Elephas maximus indicus: one gene and its partners. The protein of the gene in region 3 purifies or fractionates together with the protein of the main gene of each other region. This does not show direct contact. Links are inferred from orthologs where the notes say so. Each region holds a gene or a part of one and is shown on either strand. Other genes may lie near its edges.

Region 1 (3,746 bases), about 8.1 Mb from region 3:
CAATATTATCTGGATCGCCTCCTTCCTCTTCAATAGCCTACATTAGAAAGAGAAATTAATATGCTACACAATCTATCTAAACTTATTTTACAAAAACGCAATGAAAAAAAAATCAGCAAACCTCAAGCCTCAAGATGTTAGAATTGCCAGTCATTTCATAAACTGACTTCAAAAAAGAGCAATTAAACCACACGAAAAAGGTAAGAGAAGCTTGCGGGGCGGGGGGGCATTATTAGGTATCAAAATCACATGGAGTTTAAGGTTCTACCAATTTGAGAAAATTATATATCACATATTATCATACTCAACAAAAAAACCTAATATGCTCAATCGCAGAAAAGCTGCCAGCTGCTAAAGTAACTAAAAGGAGTTTTCCCAATATCTGCAACGCAAACTTATCCCTCCTCTACCACAATTCCAACGCTCTCTCAAATAAGCCAGAATGATTGTAATCAAGGATGAAAAAGGAGATTACTGCGAGGATGCAAAAACTGAAAACCCGATGGAAAACAAAACCTCTCCCCCCGCCCCATCAACTCCCACTACCGCCCCCCCCCCATGGGGAGGAAACGGTTGGGCACCATTAAACGGTAACTTCGCAGAAGTCACCAAAGTAACCATTCCCCCCGAGGCCCAGGGAAGCACGCGCTCACCATGGCTGAGGCTGGGGACCCAGCGCCGCCCGGCTCCGCACAACGCCCTTGGGAGGCCGCTCCGCCCGCCCGCCCGCAGCCCTGGCAGCCGGCACGGACGTCCCGGGGGAGCGGGGGCGCGCTCGGCGGCCGGGCGGGGAGGGGCGCCCGGCAGGCCTGCGCGCGCGGCCGGCGCCCGGGCCCGCTCCGCCCCGCGGACCGCGGCGGCCCAGAGACGCCAGGCGCGGCCTACGCTCCGCTTCCGGACCTGCTGGGCCTCACCTGCTTGAGTCGGGACACGAGCACCGTCTTGACGCCGGTGATGTCTAAATTCCGCCGCTTCAGCTCCGACTTGAGGTCGATGACCCGCAGGTCGGTGATCTTCTTCCCTTCCGCCTGATCCGAGGCGGCCGCGGCCGCCACAGCACCGGTAGCGGCAGCCATTTTAGGAGAGCGGCGCGCTGCCGAAGCAGCGAGTGGGCTGCAGGGCGGCGGCGGCAGCGCCAACTTGGGCTCGGGCCGCGGAGGCCGCTACGCACGGCGCTACGCACGGCGCTGCGCACAATGTGCCGCGGACCCCGCCCCCGCCGCCCAGCGCGACTTCCGCCGCCGTCGGCACCCGGATGACGGGCGCGCGTGCGCACTGAGGGGGCAGCGCCCGCGCGCTCCGCCGAACCCCCCTCGGCCACCTGGGCAGGGCGACCCCTGAAGTGGGCTGGGACGTCAGGCAGGTCCAACCGCAGCAACGTCCGCCGCGCCGCGGATCTCCCGCGGCCTCGTTAGCCATTTTCTAGCAACGTCTAGAGTCTTGAGCAATGAGAATGTGCTAGGCACGACGTGGCATAGAGTTCGCGAGTTACTAAACACAACCCTAAAAGACCTGCGCACGCCCCGAGCCTCACCCAGGGAGATACTTTGTATCTCTGCTGAGTGATCGAAAATGTGGTCAGTGTGGACAGGCCACTAATGCACTGGGTTCCTTCCTTTTCAAAACGCCTGAAAGAAACCCTAGAGCTGGTAGTCCAAGAATGTAAAGGGTCGGCCCATGTGACATGTCCCAGTGGCTCTCTCTCGGGAAAACATCATGCCTTCAGCCTTAGTTTATTCCAGGGCTCCCCCCACCCCCAGCCCCACCCCCACCTCAGCTTTGGCTTGGTTTGCCATCCTCGGGGAGGATCTAATGGCTCAACACGAAATAGTTCACTGAATGAGGAAATTAGTTTGATACTGGTTGCCATCTCGTATGCAGTGTTCACTGTTCTGCCCCTAAAATATGGGATTCCAAGAAGAGTGACTACTTATGGAGGACCGGCCTGTACAAGTGAGTACCTATTCATAATTTTAGCCAATACTACTAATCATCAAAGCATAAACATTTATGGAATAAAAGCTATCCTGTAAATTCCATAAATCAAGCATGACATGACACGCAGTTAAATGTGCTAGCATTTCCTGGCTTTAAAATTTAGATTGACGAAGCCTGGTTCACTTTAGCTTGCTCTTCTCTCTTTGATTAGATCAAGGAGGAAGATTGGAAATTGTAAACTAATACTTGACATTTGGGTAGTTCTTTATGGTTTATAATACACTTTGATATTCAATAAGCCTCTTAATCTGTCCTAACTCTGTGAGGTAAATCTCTGCGAGGCTTAACGTGATTAAATGACTTGTCCACGTTCACACAGATCAAATCCAGGTCTCCTGATTGTAAATCCAACTCTTGTCTACCACATTGGTTTCCACTCAGAATTTTAGAATTCAAAGACTTTTTAGTAATCTGAGCCAGTTCTCTCATTTTTTTAAATAGATGAACGTTCTAAGAGGTTTACCTAGATGCTCACAGGTAGGAAATCCTGGTGGTGTAGTGGTTAAGTGGTACAGCAGGTAACCAAAAGGTCAGTTCGAATCAGCCAGGTGCTCCTTGGAAATTCTACTGGGCAGATCTCCCGTGTCCTGTAGGGTTGCGATGAGTCGGAATCAACTCGATGGCAGTGAGTTTGGGTTTTGGGTTTTGGTCTCACAGGTAATTATTGAGCAAATTAACACTAAAGCTCAGATCTCCTTGTTTCAGTGTCTTTTCCACTCAACTCTCCTCCTCCCACTTTCTGTGGATGCTTGCTTGGAAAGAGGGCTTTTACTAACCAAAAGCTCACAGGATATTTAAAGGGAATTAGTTTTTCTTCTGTTGGCCTTTTTTTTTTTTTTTACTTAAAATCTAGTAATAGAGTTATCTAAAATGGAGGTACATGCTGCCTGCTGTGATGCACTTGAGAAGGACACATCACCTATGTCGTATTCATGTGTAACCTGAATCTGATCATGAAAAAAACATGCAGGCAAATTCAATTGTAGGACATTCTACAAATTAACTGGTCTAGACTCTTCAAAATAGCAACATCATGGAAAAAAAAGTTGTGGAACTGTTCCAGAATAAAGATGACTGAAGAGACATGACAACCAAATATCATACTTGATTACTGTTTAGATTCTGGATCAGAGAACATAAAAATGTAAGAACATTTTTGAATCAATGGGAACTTTGACTATACATTAGATTGTGTTGTTATATCAGTGTTAAAGATCCAGAGTATGATATCTTGGTTATGTAGAATGTCCTAGGTCTTAGGGGTGAAGTATCATTCTGTCTGCAATTTACTTTCAAATGGTTGAGAGAAAGAAAGCAAATGTGGCAATATTTTACCATTTGTGAAAGTAAATATAACAAGATATTAATCAAAAACAAATGTGGCAAAATGTTAACAATTAGGGAATCTTGCCAGTTGCCTGCCTTGGAAGTCAGTTCTGACTCATGGCAGCTCCATGTGTATCAGAGTAGAACTGGACTCCATTGGGTTTTCAGTGGCTGCTTTTTTGGAAGTAGATCATCAAGCCTTATTTCCAAGGTGCCTCTGAGTGGACTTGAACCTCCAACCTTTCGGTTAACAGCTGAGTGCATGAAGGGTATAAGGTTGTTCGTTGCATACTATTTAAACTTTTTTACAGGTTTAAAATTATTCCAAAAATACCTCATACATAGATCTATTTTTTTGTAATTTGAGAAAATAGTAAAATGGAGGTTATATATATTCACTTTTAACATATTGAATTTTTAAT
Region 2 (3,746 bases), on a different chromosome or scaffold from region 3:
CGTGGCCCGTGGTTGGGTAACCTGGCAAAGAAAGACCCCGTTGTAACATTTCTGAGCAAAAAAACCATGGGGCTTGCTGCCACGACGCCAAAAGTCTGCTTTTTTTGAACTGAAAACTCAGAAAAGCTGGGCGGCAACCCTGCCCAGCACTGCCCCAGGAGGGAAAGAGAGCGGGAGACTTAGATTACTGCATCTAGAGGCAGGAAATGTAATGCAGGGTTGGTACTCTGCAACCGAAATCCCTTTTCGGCACTGCCTCCCAAAGCCAGCCACTCCCCCATCTAGGAGTAGGCGCACAGTCCCCAGACTCGGGCTCAGCCTCCACCCAGGTCCTTTCTCTTTCCCCCGCAGCTGCACACAGACGAGCACGTGAGCTCTGGAGCCTGTCCCAGCTGTGCCCAGATGACCGCCGCCTGATTGGCTAAGAGCGACGTGGGCTGGGGTGGGGACTGGCCGCCTGCTCCGCTTGCCATTGGTTCGCGAGGAACCCGCCTCCCCCTCAGGTGAGGCGGGCCTGCAAGAGCGCGCGGCGGGCTCCGCGGGCGGGCGCGCTCCCGCCGCCCCGCCCCTCCCCGCGAGCCCGAGCGCGCCTCCGCCCTTGTCCGCCCCCTGCCGCTGCCCCTGCGCCTCAGAGCACAGAGCCGTCTGGTCTGAGGGAAGGCGAGGATCGCCCTCGCCGCCTGTTCGGCCAGTGCATTGGGCCCGGCCCCGACAAGCAACCCGCGGAGGGGCTCTTCCGAGCCAGCCTTGGACCTTCGCGGTTGCCGCCTCCTCCTCCCGCCTCTGGATTTGGGAGGGAATTCCCGCCTCGCAGCCCCCGCCTCTGGACCTGCCTCTTGTCTCTCCGCGTGTGGAGGGCGCCAGTGCTTAGGCCGGAGCGAGCCTGGGGGCCGCCGGCCGCGAAGGCATCGCGGGGACCCATTCGCCATGGAGGGCGCCGGCGGCGCGAACGACAAGAAAAAGTAAGCCCGTTCCCTCCGCCGGCCCCGTTCTCTACCGGCGCCCCCGCCCCGCGCTCGCGGGCGGGCCTCAGCTTTCCTGGGGGGCCGGCCTTTTTGTTTCTGCCTGTTCTCCCCCTCCCCTCTTTCCCCCACCTCGCCGGTCGGCTCCCCCGCTGTCCACGTCGCCATCTTGTCGTGGGGGGTGGAAGACACATCGAAAGTGCTTTCAGGGGCCGGGGTCTGAGCCCTGCCTGCGCGGCCTCCGTCCCTGTCGGCCGGGGCCTGCGGCGTCGCCTTCCTACCCGCCTCAGGCACCCCGCTGGCGTTCTGTCCCTGCTGGGACAGACTGTGCCCAGTCTGAAAACCCCGGGAAGAGAAATAAACCGCAGGTCGGTCGCCGCCGTTTGCACCCGGAGCTTCCGCTCCTTCCCGCCCCCCTCCTCTCGGCTTCCATTGAAAACTCGGCCCCGGGGCGGGCCCTGCACGCTGGTCCTGACTTCCCAGGGGGCTCGGGCCCGGGGCTTTCCGACGTAGGGGCTAGGGTAGGTGGAATGTGATCTTGCCCCGCACTAGTCCGGACGCCAGGGGTGTCTTTGCCTTTGTGCATTAGGGATTTGCCGCCACGGCCTTAAAATACTAACTTTTTAGTTTTGCACGTGCAGGTTTTGTTTTAATCGCCTGGAAAAACTTGCCTAGACGGAGAGTCGGAGCCACGGGAATTCAAAGAAATAACGTTTTAAAAAGGACACCAGGATTAAATACTGTGTTCCTATCACTTGTCACGAGAGCCCGACGTTCGAAATGAATATATGCCTCATTCATTCTTGAAAATATGGTAGTTGAAAATGTAGCGGCTAGTTAAATTTAGAGGAACAGTTTTATGGGGATTGAAAATAAAAATGTGACCAGAGCAAATGAAATGCAGCACTGAAATGTTGCGAATTTTTCCAAACCCTGCCTCATGGTCCTGAAATTGAAGTATATTAAAGGAGAACCTTCAAATACATCATAAGTAAATAATCATACTATTATAACTTACTGCAAGTTTATAAAACACCACTTGAAGTTTGAGTCCAAGGGGTACATTATAGAAGGATTAATTGCGACGGGGATGAACCAGCGGAATTAAAAGTGATCCCAGGCCCCTCCCCCCCAATTTGGTCCACTTTGGTATTGTAACCTTTGAGGAAATCATTTTAAGGAATTGAAGATTCAGAGTTTGTGGATAGTGGCCTGGATTTACGGTTAAGTCCTTCCAATGCTCTGGGAGAGATTAATTTTTCTAATCAGTATCAACGGAAGATAAACTTGTTTATATTCTTGTTATTTTGTCGATATCGTATCTTGGTCTTATTTAAATAGAAATGTTAGCCTTTCAATTTGCATATACCAGAGAAAGCACTCATAAAATTCAAGAAGTGGGCAAACAGAACAGGCCTAGACTTAATTCCAAGAATTGCCAGGAATTAATTGCAGTTAATTTTGCATAAGTGATTACCATGCTTTTGATGAAATGGTGAGGCTGCTACATTGTAAACCTAAGGCAGATTACCTCTGGGTAGTGCCAACTTTTTGTCCTTATTACACTTTGAATCCTACTTAATAAAATGTATTAAGTTATGCACCAGTCACTTCCTTTTTGTATGGTATATTATACTCATTTTTTTTTTGCAGTTGATCAGTTGAGAATATTATAAGCAACTTTAACATGAATTAGCTCCTGTGCATCACCTCCAATTTTAAAGGAACTCTTAGATTTTCCTCTTTCCCATCTGTCATTTAAAATTAAAAAATATATATCATTTTGAGCCTTAGATTGGTTAATCAATCAGATTTAACAACCTTGGATCAGATTGATTCATATTTCTCTATATAAACAAAAAACGCATTGGCCATCTCATAGCGACCCTATACAAGAGTAGAACTGCCCCATAGGGTTCTTAATGTAATTGAAAAATTAAGTTGAACATTTAAGTGGTAGCAACTGAGCAACTTTTGTTGTTATTGTTATTAGTTGAAGTCGAGTCAATTCTGATTCATGGTGTACAACTGCTCCAGGGTTTTCAAGGCTGTGACCTTTCAGAAGCAGATCTAAGCCAGACCTGCCTGTCTTCCAGTACACCTCTGGGTGTGTTCAGACCTCCAACCTGTGAGCTGATAACCCATTGCTGTGAAGTTGATTCCGACTAATGGCGACCCTATACGAGAGTAGGACTGCCCCATAGGGTTTCCAAGACTGTAAATCTTTATGGGAGCCACATCTTCCATGGAGCAGCTGGTGGATTCGAACTGCTGAGCTTTCAGTTAGCAGCCAAGCACTTAACCATTGTACCACCAGGGCTCTTTTTTGGGCTAGTAGTTGAATGCTTAATGGTTTGGCCACCCAGGGATTCCTTTTAAACCAAAAAAAAAAAAAAAAAAAAAAAACCCATTGCCATGGAGTCAATTCCAACCCTATAGGACAGTAGAACTGCCCCATAGGATTTCCAAAGAGCAGCTGGTGGATTTGAACTGCCAAACTTTTAACCACTGCACCACCGGGGGTCTTTTGAGATGTTGGTAAAAGATGCCTTTTTTAATTCTTTTCTAACTAACAATTTTAGAACTTAAAGATAATTGAGGGATTGAGGGCCAGGAATTTCCCATATATGTATTGGGAGTGAGATAAGGGGAATAGTCTAGGATTCCATGCGATTTTTCCATTTTAAATGAGTATCCAGAGTTGGAGTGGGGAAATTTATCTTTTTTAAAGCAGTATTGGTTTAGGGAGGAAAAAAAATTTGAAGGATTGGAAGAAATCAGAAC
Region 3 (3,746 bases):
GGCAGGGTCGGGGGAGAAGGCCGTAGGCATTGGGGAACTGTGGTGACTCCTGAAAGCGGCTGAGGGGCCTGTGGTCAAACGTCCCTGAATCACTCAGGTGGCGAGAAAAGCCCCGGAGCTCCCCCAGAGTTTGTTTGCTTCCCACCCAGGATAAGTTTGAATAATAAAGTTCTGGGGTACTACTCCCGTTCTGCGCCACTTTTTTCTGAGGCCCCTGCTTTGAAAACAAAGCTGTCTTCTGTTTCTTGGTTGCTGGATTTCGGATCTTTCTGTGTAAGACTCCACAACACCTTGTAAAGCAATTTCCCCCTAAAGGTAAATTCTAAACCGTCTTCTTTCATTCCTTCATCAACTCAGCAGATAGATGTCTTTGAGGTCCTTTCCATCGGGCACTTGGTTCCCAGGGCCCAAGGGACCCTTGGCTTCAGCTAGAGTCCGAGGAGTCCCTGAGGTCCCCAAATCTCCACTTCTGAGAGTCCCCTCCTACCCCCTAGCTCTCGCCTCCGCACTCAGTCTCGGGACTCTCAGCTGGTGTGATCTCACCGATGAGAGACTAAAAACAGCACCCGGGTCGCCCGCGCCGGCCAAGGCCTCGGAGCGGGATCAGCGCGCGCGGGGCCTCGGCCTTACGTGCGTCCCCTCTCGGGGCCGGGTCCTCGGGTGCACCGCTAGCCCTTGGCGGGACGGCGCCAACTTGCTGCAAGCCCAGCCCTCTCCGGCCGGCAACTCCAACAGAGCTTCCCGAGTGTGGGTTCCGAGAGGGGACGCCAGGGCCGGCGCCCGGGCCTCCCGCCTGGGGTCCCTCTCGCCGCTCCTTTCCCACGACTTCCTCCCGGCGCCTGCCCGACTTCGGGTCGCGGCCGCGCGGACGCCCGCGCGCTCCAGCCGGGGCCGCGGCAGCCCGGGTCGCCCACGTGGGCTCGCTAGGCGCGGGGCGGGGGCAGGCTGGGCGCCCTCCCCGGAGCAAGGGGCGGGTAGGGCGCCCGGGGAGGAGGCGGTGGGGCGCGGAGGAGGAGGCGGAGAGCCCCAGCGGCGAGGGGGCGGTGACAGGGTTTGGAAAGGAGGCTGCACGCGGATTTGCATGAAACACAGACTGGGAGCGGGCGGGAGCGGGAGCGCGGCGCAGGCACCGGCCGGCCCAGCGAGCGCGCAGCGAGTACGGAGGAGGAGGGAAGCCGGGAGGCGAGGCCGCAGAGGCGGAGGGATCTGCGCATCAAAGCGAGCGAGGAGTGCAAAGTTTGGCTCGGGGGTTGGACTTTCCTTCCCGGAGGCGGCACCCAAACTGCTACCCCGTGCGGAAACCCAAACTTTTTTCTGCCACTCCGAGTCTCCCGGCCGCCGCCTCTGCCCCGCGTTCGGGGCCTGCTCAAACCGGTGCCGCTGTCGTCCGCCCGCCTCTCCTGCCGCCCTTCTCCCCGCCGTGGGAGCCGCTCGGGGCGCAGGGCCGCGCGCCGAGCCCCGCAGGCTGCAGCGCCGCGGCTCGGCCCGGCACACGGGAAAGTTCGCGGAGAGTTGAGGCGAAGTTTGGGCGGCCGCGGCCGGCCCCGGCAGAACTCCCTTCTGCGCCCCCGGCGTCCCGCCGCGTCCAGCCCCGCCGGGGGCGCCCCTGGCCGCCCGCGCGTCCCCACCCCCCAGCCATGTCGTCCATCCTGCCCTTCACCCCCCCGATCGTGAAGCGCCTGCTGGGCTGGAAGAAGGGCGAGCAGAACGGGCAGGAGGAGAAGTGGTGCGAGAAGGCGGTCAAGAGCTTGGTCAAGAAACTCAAGAAGACGGGGCAGCTGGACGAGCTGGAGAAGGCCATCACCACGCAGAACGTCAACACCAAGTGCATCACCATCCCCAGGTGGGGGCCCCGGGGCCCCGGGGGGCGCGCCGGGCCCAGCCCCTTGTTGCGCAGGGTCGGCTGGGTGCATTTGGAGAGGGTGTGTTTGTGTGTGTGTGTAAGGGGGGGGCTGGGGCGCCAGCAGGAAGGGGGTGAGGGGACCCCAAATAAAACCCTTTCTGGCTTTGCAAAAGATTCAGAGCCTGGGGCTTCCACGCGGCGCTCTCGCTTCCAGACTCCACACTCGCTCTCCATCTCCCGGAAAAGGGGGTGCCGCTGGAATTGGCCGCCCCCACCCCGGGGCGCTGCGGGCTGGAAGTTGAGGCCCGCTTTGTTCGGCTCGGCGGGCCGGAGCCCCTCCTCTGCCGCTGCCTCCCGCCCCCGCGGCCCGCGCTCGTGGAGGTGGTGGTGTGTCTCCCTTTCTTTTCTTCAGCCCTGTCCCCCCTCTCCTCCTCAGCAGGAATGCAGTCCGTACAGCCGGGGCTGTGGGTGAGGAGCAGGAGCTCGTGATTGACAGATTCCTTCTTCTTTCTCTGTTTGCCTTCGGGATTAGCATTTTTATCGAGTATTTTTAGACTCGGTTGTGCCAGTCTCCCGCCCCCTCCGCACGCAGACACGCACTTAGTTGCAGTGCGCTGTTCTGACTTTCCAGTAGGAGAGACCAGTGGCGGAGAGTAGGGTCGTCCTGCTCTCCCCGCCCTGCACCGCCCGGCCCCGCACTGATTTTGCCCTCCTTTTAGCCTAGCAGATTGCAGGTCGTTGCAGAACAGAGCCGGCTAGATAACAAAACGCACCCCAAAGTGGGCCTCGCAAGGCCCTCGCATTCCTGCAGAGCCCTCTTTCCCAAAGCGCTTTACCATCTGTCTGGACCTCCTTTATCCTCCGGATCGCGCTCGCTGTGTCGGGCGGGAGCTCACAGATGGCTGATAGAAGGGGTCACTGACTTCTCTCCACTTCCTGGACCCTCGATTAGCTTAGTTGCGCCTGGCAGGGAATTGGGGTGGGGGCGGCAGCTTGACCTCCCGTCTCTCCCTCCCAGCCCCCTTTGAAGTCTGATTCTGAGCAAGGGCCTGGGGAGTGTGTGTGTGTGCGTGTGTGTGTGTGTGTGTGTGTGTGTAGGGGTAGTGGGGCGTTGTGGGGAGCCCCAGGCTGCAGAGGAACGAGTTGAGGGCCCCAAGACCAGAGTCCCAGATGGATTGTCATCCTTGCGTCAAGGCCAGGGGTGGACTCCATCCTTGGCCACCTGCTTGGGGCAGCTGTGCGAGGGCTGCCAGCCGTGGCAGGCAGGCACAAAGCAACATCTGTCCACGGAATCCCAGAGCAGGCCTCCTCTGGAAATAAATGCCACATATGGTGGGAGCGCTGACTTAAAAAATAATTTTTTTTAAACTGGGTGGATCCAGTCAATAAAGGGGGGAGGGAAGGCGGTGTGCTGTCTGGGAAGTGTGTGCTGGGTGTGTGATCAGGAGCCAGAACTGACTTCAGAGGAGGTGGTGTGATGGGCTGGTCGGAGAGACCTGGTTCTGCTCCCAGCTCCGGTTCTGAATTCTTCTTTATTCCTGTGGTTGGGGGAGGGTGTCTTACTTCTCCTATCTGAGGACGGCTCTGCAAAACCTGCCTTCTCCTTACCTGTCCAGGGTGCCCTGAGAACACCTTCTCACAAGTTGAAGCAGAGAAAAGGTAGCAATTATAGCCGAGAAAGTGTTTTACAGTTTACAGAGCACTTTCACATGGTTTTATGAAGTACTTAAAAGAAAGCAACCAACCAACCCCTGGAAAATAAAGCAGTTATGCTGAAGATTATCTCATTTTTAAAGCTGAGAAAACTTTGGAGGAGAGAAGTGAAAAGGCTTGGCATAGAGGGCTTGGGATTCTCAGCAAACCTGGTACTCTTTCTGTTACTCTGTGCTGCTGTGTACTTGGA

The links.
Region 1: the proteins of SMAD3 (region 3) and RNF111 purify together in Homo sapiens (affinity purification with western blotting; 5 studies listed by BioGRID). This does not show direct contact. The link is inferred for Elephas maximus indicus from reciprocal best matches to the Homo sapiens genes SMAD3 and RNF111.
Region 2: the proteins of SMAD3 (region 3) and HIF1A purify together in Homo sapiens (affinity purification with western blotting; 4 studies listed by BioGRID and IntAct, with this or other methods). This does not show direct contact. The link is inferred for Elephas maximus indicus from reciprocal best matches to the Homo sapiens genes SMAD3 and HIF1A.

Annotation. Positions count from the first base shown.
Region 1 is NC_064831.1:49,069,314-49,073,059, forward strand, and holds the start of RNF111 (E3 ubiquitin-protein ligase Arkadia), read left to right. Parts: upstream 1-1,192; 5' UTR 1,193-1,953; intron 1,954-3,746. Other genes in the region: SLTM (SAFB-like transcription modulator), read right to left, coding at 1-37, 915-1,076. UniProt on the Homo sapiens protein: E3 ubiquitin-protein ligase. Required for mesoderm patterning during embryonic development. Acts as an enhancer of the transcriptional responses of the SMAD2/SMAD3 effectors, which are activated downstream of BMP.
Region 2 is NC_064828.1:74,099,550-74,103,295, forward strand, and holds the start of HIF1A (hypoxia-inducible factor 1-alpha), read left to right. Parts: upstream 1-878; 5' UTR 879-927; coding exon 928-962; intron 963-3,746.
Region 3 is NC_064831.1:57,139,071-57,142,816, forward strand, and holds the start of SMAD3 (mothers against decapentaplegic homolog 3), read left to right. Parts: upstream 1-1,119; 5' UTR 1,120-1,637; coding exon 1,638-1,843; intron 1,844-3,746. UniProt on the Homo sapiens protein: Receptor-regulated SMAD (R-SMAD) that is an intracellular signal transducer and transcriptional modulator activated by TGF-beta (transforming growth factor) and activin type 1 receptor kinases.